Linked DNA regions of Lonchura striata. The protein of the gene in region 1 purifies or fractionates together with the protein of each later gene. This does not show direct contact. Links are inferred from orthologs where the notes say so. Each region holds a gene or a part of one and is shown in the gene's direction. Other genes may lie near its edges.

The links.
Region 2: the proteins of KPNB1 (region 1) and NUSAP1 purify together in Homo sapiens (affinity purification with mass spectrometry; 3 studies listed by BioGRID and IntAct, counting the BioPlex papers as one, with this or other methods). This does not show direct contact. The link is inferred for Lonchura striata from reciprocal best matches to the Homo sapiens genes KPNB1 and NUSAP1.
Region 3: the proteins of KPNB1 (region 1) and DLGAP5 purify together in Homo sapiens (affinity purification with mass spectrometry; 4 studies listed by BioGRID and IntAct, with this or other methods). This does not show direct contact. The link is inferred for Lonchura striata from reciprocal best matches to the Homo sapiens genes KPNB1 and DLGAP5.
Region 4: the proteins of KPNB1 (region 1) and NUP50 purify together in Homo sapiens (affinity purification with mass spectrometry; 4 studies listed by BioGRID and IntAct, counting the BioPlex papers as one, with this or other methods). This does not show direct contact. The link is inferred for Lonchura striata from reciprocal best matches to the Homo sapiens genes KPNB1 and NUP50.

Annotation. Positions count from the first base shown.
Region 1 is NC_134627.1:8,498,631-8,506,369, reverse strand, and holds the start of KPNB1 (importin subunit beta-1), read left to right. Parts: upstream 1-4,516; 5' UTR 4,517-4,771; coding exon 4,772-4,811; intron 4,812-5,050; coding exon 5,051-5,109; intron 5,110-7,739.
Region 2 is NC_134608.1:37,492,806-37,500,598, reverse strand, and holds the start of NUSAP1 (nucleolar and spindle-associated protein 1), read left to right. Parts: upstream 1-4,654; 5' UTR 4,655-4,670; coding exon 4,671-4,763; intron 4,764-5,878; coding exon 5,879-5,944; intron 5,945-6,993; coding exon 6,994-7,173; intron 7,174-7,793. Other genes in the region: OIP5 (protein Mis18-beta), read right to left, coding at 781-855, 2,118-2,199, 2,698-2,820, 3,795-3,861, 3,985-4,300. UniProt on the Homo sapiens protein: Microtubule-associated protein with the capacity to bundle and stabilize microtubules. May associate with chromosomes and promote the organization of mitotic spindle microtubules around them.
Region 3 is NC_134608.1:3,587,627-3,595,870, reverse strand, and holds the start of DLGAP5 (disks large-associated protein 5), read left to right. Parts: upstream 1-5,047; 5' UTR 5,048-5,074; intron 5,075-5,645; 5' UTR 5,646-5,703; intron 5,704-7,792; 5' UTR 7,793-7,801; coding exon 7,802-8,042; intron 8,043-8,244. UniProt on the Homo sapiens protein: Potential cell cycle regulator that may play a role in carcinogenesis of cancer cells. Mitotic phosphoprotein regulated by the ubiquitin-proteasome pathway.
Region 4 is NC_134607.1:5,817,583-5,825,429, reverse strand, and holds the start of NUP50 (nuclear pore complex protein Nup50), read left to right. Parts: upstream 1-4,467; 5' UTR 4,468-4,494; coding exon 4,495-4,563; exon of another isoform or gene 4,564-5,593; coding exon 5,594-5,677; intron 5,678-7,472; exon of another isoform or gene 7,473-7,847. UniProt on the Homo sapiens protein: Component of the nuclear pore complex that has a direct role in nuclear protein import. Actively displaces NLSs from importin-alpha, and facilitates disassembly of the importin-alpha:beta-cargo complex and importin recycling.

The DNA of each region.
Region 1 (7,739 bases):
GGTTTAATTTTTAGCCTGAAAGGACCCAAAACTCACTTTAATTTTTAGCCTGAAAGGTCCCAAAACTGGGTTTATTTGGAGCCTGAAAGGACACAAAACTCAATTTAATTTGGAGCCTGAAAGGACCCAAAGCTGGGTTTAATTTTTAGCCTGAAAGGACCCAAAACTGGGTTTATTTAGAGCCTGAAAGAACATAAAACTCAAGCCTGAAAGGACCCAAAATTTGGTTTAGTTTTTAGCCTGAAAGGACCCAAAACTCAGTTTTAAAGTGTCACTTACAGGACCCCTCCTGTGCCACCAGGGTTGGAATTTTAGCTGACAAACCCAGACCAGATCTTGTTTAATCTGAATAAAAACCACCCTCAGGCACTCCAGAAATGCATTTAGCAGCGAAAGGAAGAAAAAAACCAAATTATGAATCAAAACAATTTGCATTAAACAGCACAAACTTGATGGAATAACATCGTGGGGGCACTCCCGGCCTGGGAAAACATCCCAAAAATGGGAATTTTGGGGCTGTGAGCTGTTGCATTCCCGAGGCTGGTTTGGGAATTTCTGTGTCAGCACCAGCTAAGCTGCTTTTCCTTCTGCTCCCTGCACAGGGACAAAATGAAAATAATGGAAATAATGGAAATAATGGAAATGGGATTGGGCTGGGAGAGGCACAAAACAACAGCAGCAAACACAGCCAGGCTCAATCCCCGTGGAAGGGATTTGGGGATTTGGCTTTTCCATGGAAATCTTGATTTTTATCGCTGTTGGCGAGAGGGGCAGGACAAAAACAGGAATTTTTTGGGGTGGGGAAAAGGCTGAGCCTGGAAACTCATGCAGACTCTGGGAGGAATTAAATTCCCAATTAAATGAATTTTGGGATTTGGTTTTCCCATTGGAAATCTTTATTTTTATCACTGGAGACTGAACGATGTTGGGAATAGTGGCAGAACAAAAACAGGATTTTTTTGGGGTGAGGAGTTTCATGCAGGCTCTGAGAGGAATTAAATTCCCAATTAAATGAATTTTGGGATTTGGTTTTCCCATTGGAAATCTTTATTTTTATCACTGGAGACTGAACGATGTTGGGAATAGTGGCAGAACAAAAACAGGAATTTTTTGGGGTGAGGAGTTTCATGCAGGCTCTGAGAGGAATTAAATTCCCAATTAAATGAATTTTGGGATTTGGTTTTCCCATAGGAAATTTTTATTTTTATCACTGGAGACAAAATGATGTTGAGGAGAGGGGCAGGACAAAGAGGAGATTTTGGGGTGAGGAGTTTCATGCAGGCCCTGAGAGGAATTAAATTCCCAAATAAATCAATTTTGGGATTTGGCCTTTCCTAAGAAATCTTTATCTGTATAAATAAATACAGGCAGTATAAATAAATATGTATTAATAAATATGTATCAATAAATACGTATTAATAAATGAGGCAAAGTGGTGCTGGGGAGAGGGGCAGGACAAGGACAGATATTCCCTGTAACCCGAATTTTTTTCAGGGAATGATGGAATTTCCCCATAATCTGTTTTTTTTGGGGGAGTGATGGGCATTCCCTGTATCCTGGATTTTTCAGGGAATGATGGATATTCCCTGTAACCCGGATTTTTTCAGGAAATAATAGATATTCCCCATAATCTGGTTTTTTTTTGGGAATGATGGGCATTCCCTATAACACAGATTTTTCAGGGAATGACAGATATTCCCTATAACCTGTATTTCTCAGGGAAGGATGGAATTTCCCCATAATCTGTTTTTTTGGGGGGAGTGATGGGCATTCCCTGTATCCCGGATTTTTCAGGGAGTGACAGATATTCCCTGTAACCCCGATTTTTTCAGGAATGATGGACATTCCCCGGATATTGGATATTTCCCAGAGCCCTGGGCGCACCCATTTCCCCAGCAATGAATAAAATCCTCCCTCGGGGCAGCACTTTTCCATGGGAAAATTCCCTGGGAATTCCCCAGGGAAGGGCTCCGGGATTTGGGATGGACCTGTCGGGGCAGCTTCTCCTCAGCTTCCAGCGGGATGGGGCCGGGAATTCTCCTGGATTCCGGAACTCCGGGAGCTGCTCCTCCTCCTCCTCTGCCTGCTGTGGCTTTGGGAAGCAGCTGGAGGTCAGGATTTTGGGGATGGAGGCAGCTGTTTGCAGCTGGAATGGGAATTTTCAGGCAGCTGTTCCCAGGGGTTCCTCACTCCAGGGTTTTCCTGGAGAGGTTTGGGTGGGAAGGGACCTCAGATCCCACCCGGGGACACTTCCAGGGCTCCTGCTCTGGGAAATCCCCGCCGCCTTTCCGGAGCTTCCCTGCAAAAACTTCTTCCTCGGAGCCCATCCCGAGCAATCCTCTCCCACCTCCAAAGCGCCTCCCGGGAACCCCAAACCTCCGGAGCTGGAAGGGACCCCCAGGGATCATCCGGCCCAGCTGCCACCCCTGCAGGACACCCCAAAATCCGCCCTCGGCAGCCCCGGCAGCGCCGGCCAACGTTCCCGGAGCCCCGAGAGCTTTGGGAGCACGAACATTCCATGGGGAGATGTTCCAGTGCCAAAATCCCTCTGGAATAAACCCCCAAATCCATCCCAAAACTCCTGGAGCTCTGAGAGATTTGAGATCACCATCATTCCATGGGGAGATGTTCCAGTGCCAAAATCCCTCTGGAATAAACCCCCAAATCCATCCCAAAACTCCTGGAGCTCTGAGAGATTTGGGAGCACCATCATTCCATGGGGAGCTGGCCCTGTGCCTGATCCCCCTGAGCTGGAAACCCCAAAATCCATCCCAAAAATCCCAGAGCTCTGAGAGCTTTGGGAGCACAAACATTCCATGGGGAAATGTTCCAGTGCCCCAAAATCCCTCTGGGGAAAACCCCCAAATCCATCCCAAAACTCCTGGAGCTCTGAGAGATTTGGGATCACCATCATTCCATGGGGGGCTGGCCCTGTGCTCAAACATCCAGTGGGGAAAAACCCCAAAATCCAACCCAAAATCTAACCCAAACATTCCCGGAGTTCTGAGAGTTTTGGGATCACCACCATTCCATGGGGAGCTGTCCCAGCACTCAACCAACCTTTGGATGAAGATCTTTGCCCAAAATGCAACCCAACAAATCCATCCCAAAACTCCTGGAGCTCTGAGAGTTTTGGGATCACAACCATTCCATGGGGAGCTGTTCCAGCATCCAAATTCCAACCCAACGAATCCATCCCAAAAATCCCAGAGCTCTGAGAGTTTTGGGATCACCATAATTCCAAGGGGAGCTGTTCCAGCGCCCAAAATCCACCCCAACCAATCCACCCCGAAACCCCTGGAGCTGCGGCAGTTTTGGGATCACCCCCATTCCCTGCGGAGCTGTCCCGGTGCCCGCCGCTCCTTTCCCAGCGGGAATTCCTCCCCGTCCCTCTCCAGCCCTGCCCGGTCCCGGCCGCGCTCCTCCCGCAATTCCCGCGGCTCCCGTTGCTGCATCCCTCGGCCGGGATCCCGGAACCCTTCGGCAGCGGGCGATGCCGAACGGGCCGAGCCCGGGGCGGTGTCCCGGTAATTGCCGCTTGTCCCCGCGCCTCCGGCGAGCGTCACTAATTACCGCTCGCCCTCCCGGCCCCGTTAATTGTCCCGCCGCTCTCCGCCCGTCCCGTTCCCGCATCCCTCGGTTGTCACCCCGCTTTGGGGACACACCGCGATGCGCAAGGAGCGCGGTGCCCGAACCGAGGGACTCGGCGGACACCGGAGCCGGTGCGGGGCGGGTTCTGCCGGGGCCGTCGCACCGGGGAGCGCTCCCATCCCCGCCCCGGTGCTGACCGGCCCGGTGCCCCGCCCGGCCACCGGTACCGACCACGGGACACCCCGCTTCGTGCGGGATGCCCGTCACGCAGCGATTCTGCACTGCCGGACTGCACACACCGGGACACACCGGGTCACACCCCCGGTCCCGGGAAACCGGCGCCGGTTCCGCTTCCCGCCGCGCGCCGAGCACGTGGCTCCTCCCCAGCCGGTTCCGGTGCCGCTGCCGCCCTGCCCCGGGCATTGCCGGGAACCGGCGGCAGTGCCGGTGACCCCGCTCCCCGTCCCGGTGCTCCCGGTGCTCCCGGTGCCGCCCCCCACGCGCGGCCCAACGTGGTCGCGCCCCCCCGCCCCCCCCACCCCGCGGCAATGGTCCCGTCCGGGCCCCGCCCAATCCCCGCGCGCGCCGCCGGAAGCCCCGCCCCTTCTTTCCTCCCCCGCTCCCTCCCTTTTGCCGCCCCCCCTCCCGCTCACCCCCCCCCCCCCCTCCAATGGCCTCGCGCCGCCGGCCCGGCCAATAGGAAAGCGCGCGCGCCGGGCCGGGGGGGCCCCGCCGGCCAATCAGCGCGGCGGGCGCGGGGCGGGCGCGCGCGCGCGCGGGGCCCCTCCCGGCGTATCCCTCCGCCGCCCGGTGCGCGCGCGCGCCGCCGCCTCCCCGCTCGCGCGCGGCCCCTTCTTTTTTTTTTTTTTTTCTTTTTCCCTTTTTTTTCTTTTTTTTTTTTTCCTTCCTTCTTCTCCACCCTCTTTTAATTTTTTTTTTTTTTTTGTTTAAATCGAAAAGAATCTCTCCCGTCCAAACGCCCCGCAGCCGCACCGGGAACCGCTGCTGCTGCTGCCCCGCTCCGGCCTCCGCGGGGCAGGCCCCGGCTTTCCGCCCTTCCCCTCCCTCCCTCCCTCCCTCCCCTCCTCCGGCCCGCCCCGCTTCCCCCCCCCCCTTCCCCTCCTCCTCCTCCTCCTCCTCCTCCTCCTCCCGCCGGCGCCGGAGCCGCCACGCCGCCGCCATGGAGCTCATCACCATCCTGGAGAAGACGGTCTCGCCGGGTGAGGCGCGGGCTGAGCGCTGAGGGCGGCGGGGCCGGGCGGGGCGGGGGCCGCGCAAGCCGCGGGGCGGCCGAGGCGGCGCCCGCAGCCGCGGGGAGGGCGTGGGCGGCGGGGGAAGCCGTGAGGCGGGCGGGAACCGGAGCGGCGGGGAGGCTCCCGGGCACGGTGAGGAGCGCGCCGGGAGCCCTGAGGGCGCGGGCGGTTGGGCCGCGGGTGACGCCGGTTTCCCCCCTCCGCAGACTGCTCGGAGCTCGAGGCGGCGCAGAAGTTCCTGGAGCAGGCGGCCATCGAGAACCTGGTGAGCGCTCGGGGCGGTCCCGGCGGCGGCGGAGCCGGCGGCGGCGGCGGGGCCGGCGCTGCCCCGAGCGCTCCGCGGCCCCGCCCGGCTCGGCCCGGCCCGGCCCGGCCGCCATGGCCGCTGCCGCCCCTGCCCGCGCCCGGCGGCCGCGCGGGCCAATCACGGCGCGGCTTGCGGGCCCGGCGGCCAATCAGCGCGCGGCGCCGGGCCGGGGGGCGGGGCCGGTGCGGGAGCGGCCGCGGGCCATGTGCGGCCGCCGCGGCCATCGCGGCCCCGGGCGCCGCCCGGTCCTAAAGCCCGGCCGCCCGCAGGGACCCCCGGACGGCCCCAGCGGCCGCCTCCAGCACCCGCGGCACCCCCGGACCGTCCTGGTGCCCGCCGCACCCCCGCCCAGCCCGACCTCCCGGTGCCGGCGTCCGCGGGACGCCCGGCCGGTTGTAGCGCCCGCTCCTCCGGGGCGCTCTCCCCGCTGTGCTGTCCGCGGGATCCCTGCCCAGCCCCGCTGGCCGGTGCTGCTGGCCGGTGCTGCTGCCTGTGGGACCCCCGCCCAGCCCTGCTGCCCAGTCTCGGTGTCCTCGGGAGCCCTGTGCGGTCCTGCTGCCCGGTGCACCGGGAGCCCCGCATCCCCCGGAGAGCCGGGCCCGGGCGGGATCGCAGCTCCGGGAGCCGGGGAGGGGCTCAGGGATGTGTGGTGGGGGAGGGAGGCTCGGCTGGGCAGGGGGAGTTGTACCCGCGCTGACCTTAAACCCGAGCAGGAAAAGAAGTCAGAAAAAAGCAACGGAAGGGGGAACAAAAAGCCCCAAAATCCCCGGGTGCGATGGCGGGGCCGGAGCGGGGGCTTGGGGCTGCTGCTGCTTCAGAAGGGATTTTGCTTAGTCAAGCTCTGGGGCTGCAGCTCTGGCTGCTCCCCGCAGGGATGGGGAGCACTGGGGGGTGCCGAGTCCCGGTGTCCCGGTGCTGTCCTTGTCACAGCCCCGTTGGCACCCCAAAAACCGGCACCGGTCACCCCCCAGCTCCTCCTCTGCTCCCCGGGCCTGCTGGGGAAGAAGCCACGGAGGTTCTGTGTTTGTGGTGCTGGTGGAAGGAGGGTGAGGATCCCTCGGGGTTGATGCTGGACCTCTCCGTTTGGAGGGGAGAATCCTCTGGGTTGGTGTTTTTGGGGGGCTCAGTACCACCCCAAGCTGTGCCTGGAGCTGCAGGGCTGAGCTCTGAGGGATTTTGGGGTGATGAGCAGGAGCTGCTCGTGGTCCTGATCTGCTGGTGTTGGGAAGAGCTGGGGAAATGTGGATTTTCCAAGGTTTCATTTCTCTTGTGGGAGAAGAAATCTGGATTTTCCAAAGTTTCTCCTCTCTTGTGGAAGAGGAAATGTGGATTTTCCAAGGTTTCATTTCTCCTTTCCTGTGGAAGAGGAAATGTGGATTTTCCAAGGTTTCATTTCTCTTGTGGGAGAAGAAACCTGGATTTTCCAAAGTTTCTCCTCTCTTGTGGAAGAGGAAATGTGGATTTTCCAAGGTTTCATTTCTCCTCTCCTGTGGAAAAGGAAATGTGGATTTTCCAGGGTTTCATTTCTCCTGTGGGAGAGGAAGTGTGGATTTTGCAGGGTTTCATTTCTCCTGTGGGAGAGGAAGTGTGGATTTTGCAGGGTTTCATTTCTCCTGTGGAAGAGGAAGTGTGGATTTTCCAAGGTTTCATTTCTCTCAGACTTGTGGGATTACTCCAAGCTTTCATTTTTACTTTGCTCCGTGAGAGGCAGAGCTTGGGCTGGCCCCGGGGATTTGTGTGGGGTGAGGAGGTGGAATGGGCCGGGGGGATGGGGATGAAGCAGGAGGATGAGGATGGAGCTGAAGCAGGCAGATGAAGATGAGGATGAAGCGGGAGGGTGGGGATGAAGCACGAGGATGAGGATGAAGAAGAAGGGTGAGGATGAAGGTGGAAATTAAGCATGAGGATGAGGATGGAGCTGAAGCAGGCAGATGAGGATGAAGCAGGAGGATGAGGATGGAGCTGAAGCAGGCAGATGAGGATGAAGCACAAGGTTGGGGATGAAGCAGGAGGATGAGCAGGAGGATTGGGCTGAAGTAGGAGGATGAGGATGGGGATGAAGCAGGAGGATGAGGATGAAGCAGGAGAATGGGAATGGAGCTGAAGCAGGGGGATGAGGATGAGAATGAGGATGAGGATGAAGCACAAGGATGGAAATGAAGCAGGAGGATGAAGATGGAGGATGAGAATGTGGGATGAAGCACGAGGATGAGGATGAAGCAGAAGGATGGGGATGAAGCAGGGGAATAAGGATGAAGCACGAGGATGAGGATGAAGAAGGATGAGACATGAGGATGAAGCACAAGGATGGGGATGAAGCAGGAGGATGAGGATGAAGCAGGATGATGATGATGATGAGGATGAAGCAGGAGGATGAGGATGAGGATGAAGCAGGAGGATGAGGATGAAGCAGGATGATGATGAGGATGAGGATGAAGCAGGAGGATGAGGATGGGGATGAAGCAGGAGGATGAGGATGGGGATGAAGCAGGAGGATGAGGATGAAGCAGGAGGATGAGGATGAGGATGAAGCAGGATGATGATGATGATGATGAGGATGAAGCAGGAGGATGAGGATGAAGCAGGAG
Region 2 (7,793 bases), on another chromosome or scaffold:
GAAATGCTCAAATCTGTTCAAGGCAGTTGCTCACAGCCTTAGCTGGCAGAATTTGACTCAGTCCTGTTCCTGGGACTGACTTTGCTGGCACGTGGGTTGCCCATTACCTTAAATTCAAAACCTTGTGTTCTTCCTCCATGGTGCCATCCAGACTCATGCTCTAAGAACACTGCAGCATCTGTGATGTGCTCGTCTGCTGCTTTTGCAGGCAACACACACTAGCAAATCTCAAAACTATTCAGGAGTCCATTTAGCAGTGGCTTACATATCAGTTGTAGCTAATGAGCACTTGACCAAAAACTAGCTGCCATTAAAACCAAGACTGCCATTAACAATGTGTCTATTAAATGGTGGGACAAGAGCTCTAGGTCTCTAAGAATGTTCAGTTTGTAATGGTTGCTCTTGAATATCTCCACCTTGCCAAGTATGTTTTGCACAGCTCCAGAAACCTGACTTCAGTATTTCAAAGGCTAGTTTTCACCCTGAAGTCACTACAAAACTAAAGTCACATTTACACAGCTTCAAAGAGTAACATGCTGCATGGGTGAACTATTCAGTCTTCCAAGCATAATTTCAGTATGTCAGATTCTCAGGTGTTCCTGAAGGGATGCACTTCATCATCAGTTTGTTCCACACACAGATAAAGTAACAGATCAATTACTCTGGTGCAATATTTCTTGGTAATGACCAAACACAGCAGAGATGCAGAAACATTTCCAACAGTTCTTGAAAATGTGTATCAGTTGATCTGTTGAAGAGTTCTGCCGTTCTTTTACATAATTATTTTGTTATTTTATCCAGATGTTCTGTTACTAATTCTATGCGAGCACTCAAGTCCACAAGCTTTTCTTTCACCTAGGAAAAAAGAGAAGAGTATTAAAATTAGCAAAAAAAGTCCTAACACTGGACCTTTGAATGACCTGCACCCCACTTTTAAGTGGCTAAAGAGCAGCTCATTTTCAAGATGGGAAAGTATAGAGGGGCTTGATCTCTATATTGCATGTTTAGTACTGACAAAACCAGCACCCAGATCAGAAGGCTACACTACAAACTAGAGATGGATCAATGTGTGCCAGTATCAGTCCTTCCAGGGGCATAATGGAAGATGGAGTTGCTGCAGTTTTACTATGATGAACTGGATCTTTTCTAGTTAACTCAAATTTTCACACAGCCAGAAACCTATGACAATATGTAGACAAACTGTTTTATCATTAGCTTAGGAATGCATGTGGACATTATGTCTCAAAAAGCAAAGGCCAGATGCTTGAGCTTGTTCTAGTCAATAAGCAAAGTCTCTACAGTCACATAATTTGTGTTTGCAATGAAGTGCTGTCATATTTTTACTTCAGCCATTTACTATTACTAAATCATGTGTCAACTTCAGAAGTTTTAGCTGGATAGGATTTTTGTATCTTAGCCTCACTTGACCTGTAAAAACAGTCTGATCTTACAGAAACTGGAAGAGGACAAAATTAAAGAAATGTAAAAGGTCCATTACAAGAGAAACTAAAATCCAAACTGAAACCCAAAAAAAGTAATGAACAAATTATCACATAAATATGATATGCTGGCTGTCTCCTACACACAATAACTTTATTTGAGCTAAGGCACAGGCAATTAACTAACAAACTAGTCAAGTTACAGATAAGAACATCCAATTTGAACACCAAAACAGGAGGGAGGTCCTAGAGTTCTCTCTGAAACAACAAATACTGCCATGCTGTTTTGAGCTTGCACAGACATAAAAATATCTCTTTAAAAAAATCCCTTTCATATTAAAAAAATTCTGATTTTAAATTCTTCAACAATGACAACACAAGTTGTAATGCTTAGGCCAAGTCTGTATAAATTATTTTTGGGTTTTTTTTCTTTGCAAGGTATAAAGATAAAAGGATAACAAACTTTTGCCAAAATTTAACTAGAACTGGGTATGTTATGCAGTTTAGGGGTCTTAGAAAATGTTCATGTCTCATGCATTGAGTCAGTTATTGTCATATAAGGCAGCAGTTTCTCAGTCCTAAGCACTTAAAACCCCCACATTTGTATCAATGTTTTTGAATTAATGTCCAAAATTATCAGTATTTTAAAAGTATTTTCCATTATTGTGGAAATCTTACTTTCTGCATGTTTTCCTTTAAGGTCACAGCTGGAAAATTGACCTTAGAAGCTTCTACAATCATTTGATTTTTTAAGAGATAACTGGAAAACAAAACGGGAAAGGGAAAAAAAACACAGTTACAAAACCTGTAGTTGCACTATTTAGACAGATGATTTAAAATTATTTTAAATCAGATACAAGGTTGTTGCCAAAAGTAATAATTATGAAAATATTCAAAATACAGCAATGGTTTTACTTTGGAATCAAGATCCTCTCAGTAATTTACAGCTTCTGCAGTCAAGTTCTCAACCAATCAAATAATCACTTTGATACCTTACATTAGCTAAATGAATCTGGAACTGAAGAGATTTCAGCATTGCACACAACGAAGTATGAAGTCTTGCATTGCACAAGGACACTCAAGAGGTGCAAGGAAATCAAAGGGATTCACATCAACACAATTTAGTCATCAAGAATATTAATATCCCACACCAATGTGCTCAGACAGAAGTTAAACCACTTTTGTTAGCTGTAGGCTAGTTGTACAGTGACTTGAAACTACCTGTGAAGTCACTGACCATGGAATGCAGTGTACTCACCACATGATGCTGTCCTTGAAGAAACAGAACAAGTCCCGGAGATACACCAGGTCACTGCCAGAAGAGTAAAGAATGAAGCCCACAGCCGAGCCACAAGATCGACAGAATAATAAATAATAAGTACTAAAAGGAGAAAGGGAAGTGTTTTTAAACAGAAGCTTTTGAAACCACAGATATTGCATATTTGTCAGAGAGCATAAAATCTTCAGTTCCATTGGGAAAAAATCCAAGGCATAATAACGCATCCTCTTCAGAAAAGTAATATGTACAAAGTAGTATGACCATAAGAAATTGGGCATGTTGTGAAAGAAGCAATCTCTCAAATAAGTGAAGTTGCTGTTAAGGAAGAAAATGCACATCTTATTATCACAGAATGATTTACATATTCTACTCAAACATAATTTAAATAATAAAATAATGGATGCACCAGTTGAAAATTCTAATAAAATATATCATTACCCCATGCAGAGAGAGGGGCAAGGAAAAAAGTCAAAAAAAGAGCAAGTCTTATATTGAAGCAGTTCCCAGTTCTGACAGTTTATAAAACAGCTTTTAAAAATCATTTAAACAAGCTACTGGTTCTGTAAGCCCCTAGATGACATTTTACATTCTTCCCGTTAGACTGAGTTACCAAACCTTGCAAAAGATAGGTTCCTGAATGGGGCAGCACAAGTTTTTTATTTTCAGTATTAAGAAAAACCGACCAACCAATAGCCACCCCTCCCCGCAAAACCAAACCAAAGCAACCAAAAACCCACCAAACCAAACAAAACCCAGAGATGCTTTAAGCAAGAGACCTTTGAGGGAAGAGAAGAAAGGGACCTACAAGTTAAGCTGTATTCTACTGCATTGCTCGAATGTTTCTCTCCACCTACAGAGGTTATAGCAGCAAAAATCTCGATTTCAAGTGAGAACTACATCCCTACAAAAAGTATCTCCATCCGAGGTGTGAAACAGGCACAGAAGTCACTGGCAGTGACTTGCCAAACTCCTGAGCATCCCCGCGCACAGGCCGGAGAGCTCCCGGCTTCGTGCGCACGATTCACCGCGGCGGCCACTCGGGCAGGTCCGCTGCCGGAACTACGGGAGCTACGCACCATCCCAGGAGGGCTCCCTCGAGGCCGACCAACAGCGACTCTTCCCAGGTCACATCATTGGTGACTCCTGAGGAGAAAGAGAGACGCGCTGCAGCAGAGAGCCCCCGGACCAAGCCCCGCTGCCCGCCCCGAGGTCCGCGCGGGGCAGCGGCGCGTCCTCAGCACCAGCCGGCGCGGAGGAGGCACTGACTGAAGCAGATGAGGACGCTAAGCCCCGGCGGCTCTTGCCCGCACAGCTGCAGCGAGTCTCCCAGCACTGTCCAGCAGCCGCGGCAGTGGAACACGGCGCACTCCTCCGGCAGCGGACCCTGCTGCCGCGGCGGCGACGCCGGCACCTCGGCCGGCGGCACGGAAGACGGCGACAGGGGCGGCGGCCGGGGCGGCGTCCGGGGCGCCGACAGCGAGACGCAGGCGGTAGAGGCAAGGGCGGGCGCCCGCTCCAGCACAATGGCCCCGACGGTCTGCGGGTCCTGGAACAGCTGTCGCAGCCGCTGCCGCACCGCCATCTCCTCCCGCCAAGCGCTCGGGCGCGGGGCCCGCCCCCAAGCATCGTAAGCATCGTGATTGGAGCGTGGTGCGCACCTCTGTATTGCCATTGGACAGAAGGAGCGTCAATCCGCGCCGCCCGCGGCTATTGGGCAGCGGGCTGCACCGCGCGCGACTTTCTTTGCCGGGAACGCCTCATCGCGCTTGAAAATAAGCACGCGCGGCGGGCCGCGCCGCCATTGGCGGCTCCCTCGCTCCGCCCCCTTCGGCCACGCCCCTTCGGCGGCCCAGCCAATGGGCTGGCGCAGCGGGCCAGTTCGAACGGCGGGGGCGGCGCGAGCGGTGTCGGTTGGCGCGCGGCGGGCAGGCGGGTCGGTCGGAGCTGCTGTCATGGCGCTCGCTTCGCTGCAGCCCCTGGAGGCGCTGAAATACGCCGAGCTCCAGCGCATCGCCAAGGCCGCCGGGCTGAGGGCCAACCTGCGGGTGAGGCGGGGGCAGCTGCGAGGCAGCGCTGCCCACGAAGCTCCGGGTTCTGGGGTGCCCCCGTGCCCGGTAGCGTGACGTCCCCAGCCTCGCCGGGCGCACCTCCCGCGTCTGGAGCGGCGCCGGGGCGCCCCGGGGCTGTGCTGCCGTCCGGGAGGCGGGCAAGCACTCAGTGTGGGGAGAGAGCGGGGCTCCGGTGTCCCCCGGGCATCGAGAAGGGGAGGCCGCTCCCTTCTCTGCTGGCCCGGCTGTTCCCCACGCCGGTGACCCCGCGCTGTCCGCCGCCAGTGCGGATAGTTGTGTTTGTTTGGTTGGTTTGGTTTGTTTTTTTCCCTTACGACTCGGAGTGGGAGGAAGAGTGACAAGAGAGTACCTTAAGGGAGGAGATGCGTTTGGCGGGCGCGGTTAAGGGGTGAGAAGTTTAAGGATGCCCCAGGCTCCTGCCAGGAGCTGCAGGTGCTTGTGAGGCACGGCCGGGCTCCTCCTGGCAGCAATGGCACAGCTCGTAAAGCCTTAAAAGAAGGATCCACGGCTTGGGTGGACAAGGCAGCTCCCTGTCCTCACAGACCAAGAGTTTTTCTGGGAATGGTAGTTCTGGGGTACTTTGTTTGTTTTTGTGCTGACCTTTCCACTTAGGTGTTCAAGAGTCTTTCATAGCCTGGCTTATCAGTGGTGTGTTTTCATTGTTGTTTTGTTACTATCACTGTTGAATGCGTGACAGGGATGAAAAGAATGTTTTGCACGTAGCACGGGGCAAGACAGAAGCAATTGCAGAAATTTGACACAATTTTAATTCAAGTTCAGCTGCGCTATGGGGCTTAAAACAGTTTATCTCCTTCCTTGAATATTAACCCCCTGGAAAATAGAGCAGGAGAAACCTAGGCATGGAAAATTGCCTTTGTGCCTCGGTGGAGGATATCTACATGTTTATCTGTGGCCTTAGGCACTTTCTCTAACTGACTGACTTGAACGAGTCCTAGGTAGACCTCATTCTCTTGGATTCAGGAAATGTTCTGCTGGTTTGTTGGATCACTTTATAGGATGCGGGCTGGGCTTATGCAGCTCTTCAGTGACTCAATGGACTGTTTGGTTCATGTGTTTTGATTTCTCTTCAGGCAGACAAATTACTGGAATCATTGAAGCAACACTTTGAAAGGACAAAAGAAGAAAGTGAAAAAATGGTAACATAATAAATCAGCTGTTGCTTTTAAGAAATGTAATCCTTAATATGTAACTCATAGAGCAGAGTATATGCTGAAGGGTGATTTTGACCACAATTGGAACTGTAATAGAAATACCTTTTTCTTCTTAGTGCCCTTAGGTTAAAGTACTTACATACTGATAGAAATTGATATGCTAATGTTAGTTTTGAAGTGGCCTATATGACTTAAATCTTATTTCTTTTCAGCTGCCAAAATTAACAATATTTTTCAGCATCAATACAAGCCTATTCTCTGTGAACAATAACATAATTTCCACTGAACAAACCTTAATTCTTGCTTGTTTGGCTACAGACACTATTCTATACTAAATATAAAAATATTTTATTAATTTTGCATGCCTAAATGAAGGGGACTAGGTACTAATTGGAAAGCATTTTGCATCTACGACAATTTACTTCCATTTATAATTAAAGCAATACAGTTGTGCTACGTCCTTTATTTGTCTCTTAATGTGTTGTTTTCCTAACTTCTTTAACGTTTTCTGTAAGATTAATTATTTTGTTGAGTGTGGCAATATTTTTGATTAAAGTAGTTTGCTATCTGCTTTTTCTAAAATGCATCTGCCTTTAAGTGCATCCCTTAAAAATCTTTAAAGATTTGAGGAACTGGTGTAAACCTTGTCAGCTTTTTAAAAATTTTCACGAGCAGGAAAGGAGCCCTGTTTTTACTGGTGAACAGTATTCCACAAATGTACAAATATGGGAGGGTCATGGCATCATGCAAGTTAGATTTCAAATAAAAAATATTAGGCTTTTATAGTCTTATTAAAATGAAATATGATAAACCAATCATTTCAATTGTATTTAAAGTCTCCAAACAATGAGCTTTAATGCTTAGGGGAATCTGGATAGTGCCAGTTTCTTGATTATTATTCTGCTACATGGCATGCTACTGTTTATCCTCTGTGTAAAATACTTTTTTAAATAATAAAATTGAAACTGTCCCTGGAGTATTTAATTTGTATTTGTGTTGGATATCTTCCAGTTATAGTTTTTTTTCTGCTACAGGGTCCTGTAAAGAGTGCATCTTCTTCCATTAAGTCAGATGAACTAAGCAATCAGGAGGAAATTATGTCTGATTCAGTGTGTTTTATTACAAAAAGACGTGGTAAGGACAAAAAAAAGAGGACCTCTCATGAGGAAACTAATAGCAGTGAAGAAAACCCAGTGCTTTCTGATGAGAAACAGGTGATTTGCTTTGCATGCTTTTGTGTGCTGTCCTCCCTTCCTCTGAGCATAATTTAAGCACACTTGATTTCTTTTCAATCACCATTTATAGATGGTATGTGTTTAGATATGTGTGTTTGTGTGTATATAGATGTGTACAAAAATTGATATGCCAGCATTCTGGTACTTGTATTTTGTATTTTGTAGTACTGACTTTTGTCTATTTATGTGCTATCCCATAATAAACAGACATTACTTGGTAGTCATTGCTTCAAGAAAATAAATTCCCCTAAGAAATATACAATTCCAAACACTTTATCTGAGTGTAAAACTAATTTCACTAGTTAATTGCAATATTCTGAATCTTAGACTAGTTTCAGAATTTATCTAAAATAAGGCTGTTATCTCTTTTTTGATACAGAAAAAAATATCAGAAGTTGCACCATTGTCTAAACCTCGTAACTTTTATTGTGAGGGTTGTGTGACTTAGGGAGAAAGTTACAAGGTATGATAGAGGTTGAATTTTTTTTGAGTTACAAGGAGTAGGTAAATTAAGAACTGTCTGAAAGACTTCAACTGAGGCAGAGGAAGGAAATGAGAAAATGAGGAGTGGTAGTATTTTAGTGTTAGAGAATTGTACA
Region 3 (8,244 bases), on another chromosome or scaffold:
GTTGACCACGGCCACGATATACAAATCCCTCCCAGGGTGGGAGGGAAGACAGAGGTAAGATGAGTTGCTGAAGGCCAAATATTAGACGAGGACAGGACAGAAAACAGATCCTACTGTTCTCACCCCTCCAGTACTTTCTCCTCTGAACTGTAACAAACCACAGAACAACAATGGGATTTAGCTGCTGCTGACACAGTAGTCTCCTGTGTTCCACGGGAAAATTCTGTGTTTTGGTATAGGATCAAATGCACATGGGAATAAAACCTATTTACTAGCATGGCCCCACAGTTTGGTGACATGCAGTGAGATGCAAGATACCCCCAGGTGACTTAAAGGGGAATGAAATATCTGTCCTGTCATATTAGAAAAAGGTCTCACAAAGACATGGCCCCAATCTTTTGTTGTAAATTGATAAAGACAGTGAACTGACATTTGCTGCTAAGTGACTTCTAATGATTAAACAACCTTTCTCCTCTCACCCCCTCGAGGCAGTTAGTGATAATATAAGAAAGATTTTGCACATTGTTTAGCTTAAATGGCCATCTGGCCTTTCTGCATTTCAGTAGCCTTGAACATTAAAATAAAACAATAGATAAAGAAAACCAGTCCTATCTTATCAGAGACCTGGAGAAAGTTTAACTCTGTCAGAGAATTAACCAAGTCCTTACAGCTCTTTTATTGTTTCCATCCTAATTAGCAGTCATATTCCTCAGAGCTTATGTTGTACTCCCTAAATCAAGAGAAGAAACTGTCCCTTACTGGCTGTATTAATTTTAACCATGAAATACAACTCTAGCAGTTCCATCCAGCTTCCACAGGAGGTATTCTGCCCCTGGGCAATGGAGACACAATGGAGGCACACACCAAAAAAAGATACAGGTTTTCTGCCAAAATTAAAAAAAAAAAACCAACCAAACTAAACTCACAAAAAAAAATCACTAAAAAAAAAAAAAACCCTGGAATTATTGTGCAAGAAGGGAAAAGGATGCTCTTTTCAGAGAAAAATGTAATGGTCTTGGCCTAAGTCACAAACCTACTTCCTGATGCTGAGATTTCATCTAATCCCACCCCACTGAGTGGTTTCTTCATCTGCTTTTGCTCAGGGGGATAAAAAAAACAATTTCCCAAAGCAACCCACTCAAAGTCACTGGAAACAAAAAAAAAATTTGGTCTCAGCTTATGGTTGGCTTATGGTTGAATCCAGCATTTCTTCTGGGGTAAATTCCCACTCCCCTCTGCCATGGAAAAAAACTAAGAAGGGTTGAATTTGTTTGGAAAGAAGTGTGATATCCTTAAGAATGTGGCCTTGGGCTTTGAAGAAAGCAGCCAGCTAAGGATGCTTTCACCTGCAGTGCTGGAGCAAATTTGTGAGTGAAATCTCTAGCAGCAGGGAACATTTGGTGTAAACACCCTGTAAATAACAGAGGATGCACAGATATGCTGAGATAAAACCACTCAGGCTGTGTTCCCTGTGCACTTTTCATGCTGACATTGCTAGTTTGCATTTTTGTGAAAGCTGGGAGCTTATAAATGTGCTACAACATCCAGCTTTTGGGTATCAGCTGCCAGAGTGCAATAGAATCTCCAGAGTCAGGTACCTTATCCTATTTATAGCCAGAGACACTTCCCAAGGGCAAGTGGAAACTCCCACCTGGGAGCAGAGACCAGCGAGAAAGAAACATCAAAGGAGGAATGTATTAAAGTCACTTTGCATAGCCAGTGTAGGTGTTTCCATCAGCTCAGGATCCCAGGCCCACACGTTGGGGTTTAGGAGTCTGTCAGTGCTCTTTGAAGGATTGGAGCAATAACAAATTCTGTTTAACACCGTGGGTGTCAAGGTTGCATTTGATGTTATTTGTTGTATGTGCTGATCTGAGGGTGGAGAAATACCCAAGAAAGGGAAGACACTCTCCAGGCTCATCCAGGTGGGAGTCCAAACATCTCTCTCTACCTGCTGGTAGAGACCATGGCATCCTCCCAGGTGACAAGCTGAGGCACTGGGGGGTGGCTTCTTCCCATTCCTGGTAAAAATGGGCTGCAGAGCAAAATAAACCACACAGAACAGAGCAAGAGGCTTAACTGTGTTCCCTAGTTGCTCAAAGACAGGAATTTCACTTCTGTTTTCTGCTCCTAGAATTTGTTCTGGTTTTTCAACTAGCAAACACTTCAGATGAAAAGCCTGAGCACAAGTGGGAACAGCAGCCAATGCATCAAAATGAATTTGCTGTTTAATACTTGATTGAGAGGTTATCAATTGAATTTGGCAACCTGTGCCCTCTGCAGTGTTTTATTTTGCCTACAGAGGATTTTCTTTGACTGCATGCAAGTGGCTGTGGGGTACAGCTTTATAACTCCATTTACCTGTACTTTCACCAAAAACATGATCAGAAAATGTAATTATTTCAGGGCTAAATTTGAGGATAGATTTCCCTACACACTCCATATTGCACTCGATATGTGCAAGGGTGGGGAGAATCACCTTCACAAAGAATAATATTCTGTGTGAAGGAATGAAGAGCAGAAGGAGCAAGTTAGCAGATTGCCACATAATGATCTCCTCAGTACAAAATGTATGGGATAATGATAGTTATATTGCCAAGAAATAAAGGTATTCAAATTGGTTCTCAAACCTCAATGGTTAAAATGGGATATTATCATAAAATCATCAGGTCTGTATGAGAACAAGGAGTTCAACCTTTCAGGCATGGCTAATACATGCACAGGATAATGAGTTTAGAAATTCAGATCGCTTGTTTATTTTTATGAAATGGTAATATGTTTATTTCTCTTAGCACAATAAAATCAGTAGCAATCAGGAATTTGACTGGAAAACACCTGATCTGAGTGTTTTAAATGATATTATTTTAAAATCTTAGCATTATTCAAACACACTGAGGCCCTTGTGGTGACCTAAATATTGTCATTGGAAGGTGTCTCTGCAGCATGTTAAGGAACCCCATTCTGGCTGTAACCTACCTGGCTCAGGTAACACCTGCAGAGGTGCACAGCAAACTCAGGGCAGGTACTCAGGTTCCTCAAGGGCCCACAGCTGTGTTATCACTCCTCCTGTTACTTCAGCTCCTGAGATTAAGCCCAGGCCATAGCAAAGCTTCCCAAATTCTGTATGGACACCCATAAGAGTGGAAATGAGCAAAGGTGCCAATCCACACACTCCGAGAAGCAAACAAGTCTTGTTTCAGCATATTCAAGTATGCAGTAAGAAAAAAAAAACAATTTTTGGTTGAAATGATGACACTCCTAAATTCACTTTCTCCCTAAAACTTGTGTTTCAGTATGACTCACATCATTGGATTATATCCTGATATAAGATAGAATTGCTGATGTCCTCAAATTCCACTGCCATAGAAGAAAAAGAGGAGTAAGAAAATCAGCAAATCCCGAGGATTGCATTGGATTGGACTCTGTACACTCCACAGATCTGAGCTCCCATGGTTCTGTTTAATTGGATCTTTTTCAAACCATCACTTTGGCAGCACTCAGTAACCTCCATGCTGCTGTTTTATTATCTCTAGCAAATAAATGACTGCAGGATTAGGCTGGATGGTCAATATTTGTGACCTTTGCTGTAACCTTTGTCAGTCTGTGCAGAAACGGGGTGACTCTTCCTGGACTGCTCCAGTCTGGGATGCCCAGAGCCACTCACTTTGCTCGCTGCCGTGGGGAACAGCTCTGTTCTCTTACTGTGGTGCTTAATCCATTTATTGCTGTCTTAAAATCGCATTTATATACAAAATTACTGATATATTTGTGTAACGCCGGAGGGGATCCCGCATTTTCAGGCTGCTGGAAGGGCACGGCTGTCTGCCTCTGACCACCGCTCCTGCTACTCAGCAGTTTCCCGTTTCCAAACACTTTTTTTTTTTTTTTTTTTTTCCCCTCAAAGCGTCGTCCCCATTTTTGCAGTGCCACCAAGCGGATGGTTCCCCCGTCAGCATTTGAATTTCCCAGGTTACCACTTCTAAACAAACAGAGAATTCTCCAGTAGCTGAGCATTGTGTTAAACGCAACCCACCCCAGCAAACAGCGGGGTTGGTGCGATGGCAGGAAATGAAGGGTCGTTAATAAAAACCACTTTGATAATGCGTTTGAGGCCCTTTCAGACTTGTGAAGACCAGGCTTCGGCTCCTCAGGAGGTGGCACAACGCGGGTATTAAGGTGTGGATACAGATCTGTGGGCTCCCCGGTTCAGGAGAGACGTGGAGCTCCTGGAGTGGGTGCGGGCAGGGAGGACAGCGGGAATGGAGCATCTCCCTGCCCAGGAAAGGCTGAAGGAGCTGGGGCTGTTCCGTCTCCAGAGGGAACCTGATCTTTGTCTGTCCCTGTCTGCAGGGAGGGCTCAGAGCCAGGCTCTGCTCCAGGGGCCAGCAATGGCACCAGAGGAACGAGCAGGAGCTGATGCCCACAGGTTCCACCTGAACGTGAGGAAGAACTTCCCTGTGCAGTGACTGAGCCATGAAGAGACACCAGAGAGGGTGTGGAGTTTCCCTCACTGCCGATATATAATATGGATATGTAAAAAGATATTCCCGAGCCGTCTGGACACAATCCCGTTCCCTGTGCTCTGGGACGTCCCTGCTGCAGCAGGCAGATGGGGCCAGATGAGCCACTGCCGTCCCTTTCAGCTCTGTCCGCTCTGGGATTCGGTGGGTGGTGGGACGGCTCATCACTATCCCTGAGTCCTGCTGGCACTGAGGGCTTTGGAAGCCCAAACGGGTGCCAGGTGTCCCCGGTCACAGGCGACACTCAGGCACAAGCGACCCCCGCCGCCATCTTAGCACCCCCGCGCCCTCAGCGGCTTCACCTCCCTCACTCCACTATCCAATGAGCTGCAAGTATGGGCGGGACATAACCCCAGACAGCCAATGGAAATTAAGAATTGTCATCGGGCGACCAATAAGCAGCCCGCTGTGGCGTTCCGGCGCTGCCAATCACCGCCCACGGTGAGGCCAAAGGGAGCGGGCGGCCCGCGCTGGCCAATGAGCGTTGGCGGGTGAGATTTGAAAGCGAGGCGGGGCGGTGCGCGCGGGGCCGCGCGGGGCCGGGGCCGGGACGGGTAATGGCGGGCCCGGGGGGCTCGGGGGTCCCGCGGCGGGATTTGGGAGTCCTGGAGGGGCTGTGAGCGCTCGGGGGAACCTTTTTGTGCTCTGTAAGGGGACCCGGCGTGGGGGTCTCGGCTGGCGGTGGGCTGGCAGCGGTGCGTTGTCTCTGAGTTGTGGGAGCACCGGGGTGCTGGCGGGGAAGGGGCTGAGGGGACAATCCTGAGGCGACTCCGCACAGCCGGGCCCGGGTGTGCCCCGCAGGCTGCTCCGACCCCCGCGGCCCGTCTCGAAACCGTCGAGTCCAGGCTTTGCTCAGTCTCTCTTTAAAAGTAGCGATGTTTGCTCTTCCTGCTCTGTTTTCTCACTATTCAACCTAAAATGTTTTCCTGCTCGTTTTACTCTTTGGTTCTTAGGGTGTTGTTGGTCAAAAGTGTCTCTTTTCATTTCCTCTTATTTATTAAAATGATCAGCTTTAATGTTTGGTACTATACGTTAGCCAGTCACAAATCCTTTATGTAAGCCCTCTGTCCCTTTCTTGCTAATAGTCTTTACTTGTCTGTATTTAAATACCAATTAATCTTCTAGGCTCCTGTTTGGGCAAGATACTCCACGGGAACAGTAACCTGGGAAGAAGAGGAGACAGGTATTTTTGTTCTAAACACGTCTTTGGGATATTGGGCATGACATACATTTTTAATGAGCAAGGTAACCTTGCTGTGCTTAAAGAATATGGCTAAAGGTACGTTTAGGAACTTTGTACTGAAAAAGGATGAGTGTGGAGACTAAACTGCTGCTTTGAGCAGTATTTATCATCCACTGGCCCCAAAAGCCTGCTGCTTCTGGGACACAGATAGTGGAGATGTATTCCCACTGTTTTCTTTATGGCTTTCTGTAATGCCATGTAATTGCTAATAATTCTGTAATGACCAATTCTGTAATTCCTAGCAGGATCAGTTCAAATGTGATTATTGGAGACACTCATTAATTAACCTCCCTTAATCACTTAAATGTAAAGTAGGGCAAATATGACCTATGAACTACAGTGGAGTTTTTTTCACTCATCATTAGCTGGCATTTTTAATCAATTTCTGAAAGCTGGAATGCAAGATGAAGGGTGAAGCCCAAGACATTCACAATTCGGGTGGTGCTGGTGTGGACCAGATCTTCCAGAATTGTGTGGAGGAGATCCAGTCCCTGATTTGAGTTTTGATTTTTATTCCCCTTTGCTCTTTAACTTCCACTGACCATTTTTTCTCCCTTGAAAAAAAGGAGCACAATGTAGTGATTTTGGTTTCTGTCCAAGCAATTTTTGGTTTCTGTTCTAAGCAATTCCAGGAGGTTGTGCAGATGCTTTTTGGTGCAAATTTCCCCCTCCATGAACATTTTCATGGAGTGGGGAATAGGGAGCTGCCACTGCCAGCACTGATGGCATCTGGACAGGCTTGGGCTGTATTCTTTCTTCCAACAGCTCAGGTTCTCTCCTTGATTGCTTTTCCTGTAAATATATTCAGTATTTTTCTGCATTATTTATATTTTGCTGCTTTTCTTCCTTCTAAGATTTGGGTTTTCCAGCTAGGCTGCTGGTTGAGTATTTGGCTTTTGTTGGCACATAGATGGGAAGGGGATGGACACCCATTGTCCAAATCCTGCACACCCATTGTCAAGGCTTTTCAGTTCTCTGATGGTTCTTTCAGTTTGATCAGAACATGCTGTCCTGAAATGAAGAGCCTCAGTAAATGATTGATTTACCAATTAATTAATAACTGCTGGGTGTTTAGTTTAGCTCTGTCACCCTGCTTACTGTAAAGCTGTTTTCTGTAAGTGGTGGAAGATGAGATGTGTGAGGTGAAAAACCCTTGACAAGGCAAGTTTTAGTGGGGATGCAGGAGATAACAGAATCCCAGAATGGTTTGGGTAGGAAGGGACCTTAAAGCCCATCTTGTTCCCATCCCCTGCCATGGGCAGGATCACCTTCCACCACCCCAGGGTGCTCCAAACCCCATCCAACCTGGCTTTGAACACTTTCAGGGGTGGGGCAGCTAAAGCAGCATCTCTGGGCACCCTGTGCCAGGGCCTCAAGACCCTCACAGAGAAAAATTTCTTTCCAATATCCCATCTATCCCTGCTCTTTGTCTGTTTACATCCATTTCCCCTTGTCCTGTCATTCCAGGCTCTCTCCACCTCTCCTGGAGCCCCTTTGGGTTCTGTTAGCACAGCAAGTGCAAACCAACTGACAATTGGCTTAAGGCTTCCCCAGGGTAAAAATGATGGGAAAAATTCTGCTTGAAATAACCACTATTGTATTGCAGTTGCATCCTGGAAACATCCTGGTTCTGAATACTCTGCTGCATGGCAAAATTCCTTGCTATCAGATAGGCCTAATCTAAATGGAATGTTGCTTCCAAGTATTGTCCTACAGCCCTGTCATTTACTTGCTCATCTCCTTAATGTGGAAAACAGCTGTGGAGAAAGCAGCCCAGCCAATCCCAGGCATGGGTGCAGTGCCCCCTCCTAATTCTGTGCCAGGCTTGGTGACCACTCAACACCCAAACTGGTCCCTGGAATGGATAAAAATAATGAGAAATTGCTGAAAGAGTTGTTGCTGAAATTGTTATTTGAGTTTTTTCTGGTCACATAGAAAAATTAAGAATTTAGTGCTTTGCTCATAACGTTAACAAATTGGAAAACAAACCATGACAGTGTTTTCCTAATTGCTGTGATTGTTGTCTAAGGTCATCAGGATGGCTGCTACTTCCCAGTTTGCCAATAGATACAAGAAGGATTTGAGTACAGAAGCCCTCAGAACCAGGGTTGCCCGCAGGAAATCCATCCTTCAGAAGGAGAACAGGCACAAGCTCTTCGAAAAGGGCCGGCAGCTGGGGCTGGCAGATGTCAATGCTCAGCCCTCCAAGGAGAGGGGAATTCCTGAGCTCAAGGAACCCAGGGAGTTGTGCTTTCAAGAGAACAGCAGTGTGAAACAGAGTAAGTAAAGAATTGCTCTAGACATTTTTTTTTAAGTGTTAAAAATTATAAGTAGGTTTAGTAGCATTATCACAGAAACCTACTAGTCAACATTTTAATTTGACAAAACGTTCAAGATTTAAAACCCTGTCAGCCTTTCCAGGTGTTAAAATCAAGACAATAAAATCTTAATACCCTCCTCACTGCTCCAGTGGTAAGAATG
Region 4 (7,847 bases), on another chromosome or scaffold:
TATGATTGGCTTTTCGCAAATATTAAATTCAATACTATACGTATTATACTATATTGATTAGAAGTGCTGTATTAACATTTTAATAGTATGTTAAATGTAGTTTTGTAGTTAAAATAGAAACCATGTATGTGGAGTTTTCTTTAAAAGAATGAGATACTCGTTCTTGACTCTTTGCAAATATTAAAATGAATATTATATGTGTAATGTTAGTTATGCTGTATTAATTCTCTTAAGTATTGTGTTAAATATAGCTCTAGGTTATAACATAATGCTAATATAGAAACTATGATGTAAGATTTTTTTTTTTTACTAGCTCAAGAAAAGGGAGAAGATAATTAAGAAACTCTTTGCAGAGATAACAGCGACAGGGCACATAAAGAGGTACTGGCTCCTTACTGGAAAAAACATTTTTCCACCTTCTCTCCCTCTTTATGGAACCACCAGGATTAAGGGGAAGAAGCTGACAAAAAGCAGAAAAAATTCTTAATTTGCAAAGAATTTATACATAATGTATGAGATATATGAATATGCAACAGGCTGTTACTTGTAAGGGTTATTCCTCTGTTCACAAGGCATGGTTTTGGCAGCTCAGTGCCCAAAAACATCCAGACATCCTTAATGCTTTGTTTTTAATTGTCTCGTAGCGTTCTAATCCTCATTGTCCAAATTTTTATTATTCTGATTTTATTACTATTTTCAATAACTATTTTATGACTTTATAAAAGATTTTATAAAAACAAGTGATCAGAGTTTTTCCACAAAAAATGATGAATTACAGAATTCAGAACCAGAGGCTATTTGATAAAAATGTATGTGAAAAACGCCAATCACTTGGTTTTTAAAAATTTTTAAAGTTTAATAATAATAAAATGGTTATAAATATAGTAATACAATTAAAGTAATAAAAGTTTAGAGTTAGGACAATTACAAGACAATAAAAGGCAAAGAATTATGGATGTCTGGATGCTCTCAGACACTAAGTCATGAAAAGCATGACTTGTGAATAAAGGAATAACCTCAAAACAATACACTTGTTGCATATTCATACATCTTTATGGTTATGCATACATTCTATTTTAAACAAGAAACTCTGTCTGTTGTATGTTGTTTCCTTTAATCTCCGTGGTGTTTTCGAGTCTGAGCAAGGCCTGAAGAAATTCGCTTCTTCTGATGAGAAAACAATAGATTTATCTTCTCTTGGACGATTTAGGTGTTCCTCGAATCGAGTATCTCATCCCTAAAAAAACCAAAAAACAACTTCCCCCACATACATAGTGTCTATTTTAACGTTCTGTTGGAACCTAAAACTACATTTAACACACTACGTAAGGGAATTAATACAGCTTAACTTTCTAACATTACACATATAATATTCATTGTAACTTCTGTGAAAATCCAATTATAAAACATTTTTTCACAATGATTAATTATAGAATCCAGAACCAGGGAATATTTGATAAAAATGTATAAATAGGCGAGGAACTTTTTTTATCAGCATGTGCGTGGGGGCGGAAATGTCTGCGGGCAGCCACCAAACTGTATGACTATTTTACACAAAAGGCTGCTGGCCGAGGACGCACCGGTACCTCGCCAGCACGAAAAGGCGGCACTCAAAGACGCAGTTAAAAGCAGAGAATGAAGATTTCCTTCTAACATCCGATTTCTCCCGGCGGCCCCGGCAGGACCTGCGCAGAGCGCGGCCGGCGGCGGAAGCCACACGCGCCTCGGCGGCGCCCCCCGCGGCCGCCGGCGGTACTGCAGCGGCCGGCCGCGGCGGGCGCACGCGCGGTGCGCGGGCCGGCGGCGGGCGCGGCCTTCCCGCTCAGGGCCGCGGCGGCAGCAGCGGCGGCGAGCCCCGCGTGTGCCGGCGGCACCGAGCGGCCGGGCCGGCGGCACCGGGCCGTGCAGCCTCTGCGGACACCCCGCCTCCCGCGGGAGAGCCCCGAGCGAGCGAGTGAGTGGCGCGGGGGTCGCTGCGGTCCGGAAGGCGCGGAGCGCTGCGCGGTGCGGCGAGCGGGCGGGGCGCGGCCGGCACGGGGCGAGCGGCGCCGGGAGCCGCAGCGGAACGGCGGATCCGCGGTGGCTTCCGCTTCCTCCCGCCGGGCCCGCAGCCGGCTCCGGGATCCCGGGACCCGCACGGACACCGGCCCCGCCGGCTCCGGGCCTCGCTGCCCGGGTGACCGCCGAGCCTGGCTAGAGAGCGGTAAACAGGCTATGAAGCTGCTGGGTGTTGTTATCTCTGCAGGTCAGCAGCGCGGCTGCGCTGCGTTGTTTTTAAACGTGTTCAGAAATGTTTTTGAGCGTGATTGGTAATCGAAGAGGAGTCAGGGTGGATATCGGGAAAGGTTGTTCCCGCAGAGCGTGTTGGCACTGCCCAGGCTCCCCAGGGAATGGGCACTGCCCAAGGCTGCCAGAGCTCCGGGAGCGTTTGGACAACACTCAGGGATGCACAGGGTGGGATTGTTGGGGTGTCTGTGCGGGGCCAGGGGCTGGGCTCAGTGATCCTTGTGGGTCCCTCCCAACTCGGGATATTCCGTGATTATTCGATACGTTTCTCAAAATACTTCTATGTCAGCCTGTTCAGAACACGTGCTCCGAAAGCTTCATGAAGTTTGTGAACACCAACCAGATGTAGGTTTGTGCTGGTTCTTGTTTCACGGGATAGAATTCACTTCAAGTTCTCTGTTAGAGTCACGTTAGATCCTCTACAATGCTTTTAAAGAGAAACTGTGCAAACACCAGTGGGTGCAGAGAATCTGGAGCTTACATAGACAAGGTTTTCTCTCTTTTGGCGGGGGACAGGCTCTGTAGTTAATGTGCTCTTTCAATAATTCAAATATTTAATGTAATAATGAAACTAATATATTTAAATTATATTATAGTATATAGTATATTATATATAATATGAATTATATTATAGTATATTATATACTAATATAATATAGTATACTATAGTATATTATAGTATAATATATAGTATATATACATAATATGAATATACGCAGCATATATATACAGAATACCTTTATTTATTATAACTTAAAAATTAAAATGTATTACATAATTTAACACATTCTATATAAAAATTATATAATGAAACAATAATTTAAATAAAGGTGACTTTAAAATAACTTGTTTTTAGCTTTTCAGTGGGTTAGATTGAAATGATCTCCCAGGGGTTATCAGGCAAGGATGTCTACTTTCAGGACAGAGTGGATCAGGGCATTTAAATATGTATACACAAGCCAATCTTTGTCCCTCTACTTCCAGAAGCTCTAGTAACTTGACCTTATTTGTGATATATGTCAGACAAAATTTAGGACTTGGATGTATCATCTCCCAAGACTGCTGTCCTTCTGGATTTGCTGCTCTAAAATGTTTCAATATATAAACAAGATGCCTTGTAACAATATATTGTTACAATTTCTGGCTCTGAAATTCAGCTATTTGTGGTTTTTTTTTTTTTTTTTTTTTTTTTTTTTTTGTCTTTTTTTTCTGGGCAGGTCTTAATCACAAACCCAAGGGGGTTTTGGAAGAGTTTTAATTTTTGTGCTTGTTTGAGATTTAAATTGCAACAAAACTACATATTTCCTTTGGTAAGTTTACACACATTTAGTATCAGAAGATATAACCATAGTTAGTGAAATACATCTTTTTTCACATAAAATTCCTGTACAGTGATTGCTTGCCCGGTTTTTTAGACTGAATCCAGCTACCATGTTTTCTTTTTCTGGTTTTGTACACAGCTCATAAGTTATACGTTAGTAAAATGGGACTGAGAACAGTTACAGACATTCCTTCTGCAAAGCTGATTTTGCTTTACATCACAGAGATAACCAGCAAAATCATGATTTCTTTGCTTACAGTAATTGCTGTAAAATCCATGGCATGACTTATGTGTCCTTTGTAGGAAAGCCAATCTCATTTATTTAATTTTTTTTTCAAATTAGTAATGGACAACCAGTCCAATTTTTTAAAGGAGAGCATTGTCTTCGGTCTTAACCAAGCTCTCTGCTCAGCTGATTCAGTGGGTCCTCATTAGTATTTATTTCAGATGTTATAAAGCAACTCCCTTTTTTCTTGCTGCTTACATAGGTATCCTGAGGTGGCAATGTGGAGTGGAATATGGAATGTTTTAACCACAGCTTTGGGGTTTTTGTAGCCCTTCAGAATACGAGTATATGAGTTATGGTTCCGAAAGGAATTTTTCCATCTGCCAAATAATATTTATCCCATAACTGCACTGTACATTTCTGTTGTTCTTTAAGATTGAATATGGCTGATCACCACAACTTGAATCTCAAGTGCTGTTGGCTGTTTTTGCCACAACACTTGGTTTTCAGTTGTCATTCCAATCTTGACTTGCTTCTATATGAACTGCAGTTCCTGTTTTTTTGTTCTAAGAATACAAATTGAAGATCACTGCCACTTAGAATTTAATTTCTGTGCAATTCTTTCTAGGATTTTTTGTTTCTCCCCAACAAGTGTGGAAAAATGGCAAAGAGAATTGCTGAAAAGGAACTGACTGACCGAAACTGGGACCAAGAGGATGAAGCTGAAGAGGTAAAATACAAATTAGTTCCCCGCTAGTAGCTGTTTACATTTGTTGTGTATCTTGTGCATAAAACCTACAGTAGAACTGGTTAAAAGTTTAGCAATTAAAGATAATTTTATAGAAGTGGATTTTTAAAAAATTATTTCTATAAAGCTTCCAGTTATGCAGACCATATAGCAAAACAGCTTTTAAGAGTAAAAATTTCGTCAGTGGTTCTGGAGAAAGGAACTTAATATTTTTAGAGGGAACCCCAGGCTTGTTAAAATGCTTTTGGACTCTTTAAAAGCAGATTTGATTTCTGGAGATAAATGCTCTGTATGCCTCCAGTATATTTTTTGAGGGTCAGTAATAGCTGATTTTAGAGCTATGTTAATTTTAGCTGAATTTCTCCACACAGCCGGAGGAATTAGGCAAATAGTTGAGTGGTATGTTTCACCTAATTGTAAAAAGACATTTTCACCTTTAATGTCTCATACTTCCCTTATGGCTCATATTTAAACAAACTGGTTTAGTTTTTGTCCAACTAAAAGTATTAAACGCTTAGGCCTGTAAATGTAAAAAAGAAAACTAACTCTTCCAGGAATTTGAATATAAGAAAACTTAATTTCCTCATTTGTTGCAGGGTGGTACTGAGCCATTAGCTGTCTTTGCTAGTGTTTGAACTACAGCAGGCTGCTGGAGGTTGCCTTAGAGCCCACATCTCCATATAACTGTTCCAAACTGTGGATTACTGACAGATTCCCTTCAGCAGAGAGATCTTAGAGCTGTGTTTTAAAAAAGCAAAACAAAACTTACATTATTTGTTTTAATAAAATGGAAATAGCACAAAGAGAAATGTAGTGCAGAACCAGAAAGAGTTTTCCAAGTATCAACTCACCTGCAGGTAGCTGGTAAGCCGATGACAGTGCTGCATTTTAACTTCTCCCCTTGTTTGTTTGGTAGCAGTGTTAGAGTTGTGTTCAAAACCTGATCTTGGCCATCCCTTCATGTTGTGTATTTTGAATATTCCACTAATGATTCCATAACTTCCTCTTCAAGGTGGGAACATTCTCTGTGGCAAGTGAAGAGGTCCTGAAGAACAGAGCTATTAAAAAAGCAAAGCGCCGAAATGTTGGGTCAGAGGTAATGTAGTCACTGAGCATGAGTGCTGGGCTTTTACTCAGTTACAAAACACAACACCACACTCAGGGTTTTACTTCCTTGGGTTTGTAGTGATGCTGAGTAAAGTTATCATTTTGACTCACCGGGTCATATGTGCACATGAACTTTGGCTTTACTGTTCCATGCTAAGAATAAGACTAAGGCAAAAAAAGGGTAATACTAGTTTGACTAGGTGAGCAGGGTGTTCTTGCATATTTGTGAAGTAAAAATAAAGAGTGTTTCAGGCACAGTGTTTTATGCAAATGGGTAAAACAACGTTTTTACTGCTTTACTTGCATTTTTTGTAGAGATGGAAGTATGGAAATGCAAAGTTATTAGTTATCCATACTGGAGGGCTGGGGGATGTCTCAGAAGCTATGTTAGTAAATACCCAAATACTAAGCTGCTCTGAGAATGAGAAACGTGTATTTTGTTAAGAATGCTGCTACTTTTTTTTTCTCCCTCCCTGTCAAGAGCTTTAGTGCTATCTACTCTTTGCACTAGCGAATTGAAAATTGAAAGGAAGCTGGCCTTTGTTACAGGTTTAGTCCCTGTGAAAGCCTTATCCCAGTCCAGCCAAATTGTTGTCCTTTCAGGAATCCTTGAGAAATGCTTTGTTGTGTATATTTTTTTCCCAGACATCCTTTGAACAGGGTATGCATCATGTTAGAAATAGGCTTGGAGCTTTATGTGTTACACAGATTGCTTTAGGACTTGGTGGGACTAGGCACAGTTAGGAGCTAGAGAGCCTTCTCCTATGCTTTTGATTTTCCTTCTTCAGTCCAAGCACTGTAAATGAGGAAGCTGTTTTAGCTCACTAATGCCTTGAGTAGTTTTAGCCACAAATGTGGTAGAGGATACAGTTAAATAAAGGATTGTATTGAAAGGAGGTGATACAAAACATAAATACAACTTGAGCAGGAGAGATTCAGGGGCAAATGGAATAGGAAAAATAGAACAGGCTGAGAAAGGGGATCAGATGGGTTGTAGAAGTAGTCAGGAGACTGGAAGCAGGCTGTTAGAGCTGGTAGAAGGGCTGGTATACTTCAGCTCCAGCTGACAGCTAGCTAAGGACCATGCAGCCCCTCACTTTTCCTCCTAGTGGGATGAGGAGGAGAATGGAAAAAAGGGTGAAAGCCTGGGTTGAGATAAGGACAGTTTAGTGATTGAAATATAATGATCATGATGATAAGGGAACCAAAAAAAGGGAAAGAAATAAACCCAGAAAAAGCAGTGATGCTCAGGATAGTTGCTCACTACCCACTGACCTCATCCCATGCCCAAGCAGCAATCAGCTGCTCCCAGCCACCGCCCCTCCCAGTTTCCGTGCTGGCCATGACATTCTGTGTTCAGGTCACTGTCCTGGCCATGCTCCCTCTCAACCCCTTCTGTCCTGCTTGCTGGCAGAGCATGAGACATTGATAAGCCCTTGATTGCAGTGAGCACTGCTCAGCACCAACTAAAACATCCTTGTGTTATCAACATTCTTCTCGCCCTGAATTCAAACCACACCACTGTACCAGCTACTAGGGAGAAAATTAACTCTATCCCAACCAAAACCAGGACAACAGGCTGGACAAAATCTAAAATGCAGAAGAGATGACAGGACAGCTAAAGTTGTGTAAGAAACTTTGTGAAATATTTACAGAAAGGTAAACTTGCTGATGTTCCTACATGGAGTAAGCAGAATGCTTCAGTGAAAAAGACAGCAGTTTAACTGGAATATTCAGAGAGAAAGGTGGGACTGATCAGAGAGAAACATAATAAAAATGCTTACCTAGGAATGTGAAGCAGAGGACTGTGCTGGAGACCCATAACCACAAGGTCAGATACTGGAATGGACAAGCTTTGCCATTTCTTCAAAAGCAGATGAAACTCAGAAGCAGTTCTCATCTGATGGTTTTCCAGAGACACTGAAAGTTCACTTTGAGTGGTAAAAGTTCATGACCTCCAAAGGCCTTAAAATTGCAGTTCTTTATTTGCATGTTAATTGTACTTTGTCTTTTAGAAACACGTAAGAAACTATACCATAAAATAATACGGTTGCAAAGACAGTGATTAGAACTGGGTAATGAAAAGTTTGCAGATACAGATATTTTGTGGTCAAGTACGGTTTGTCTTTGCATCTTCCATCAGTCACATTGGAGTATTT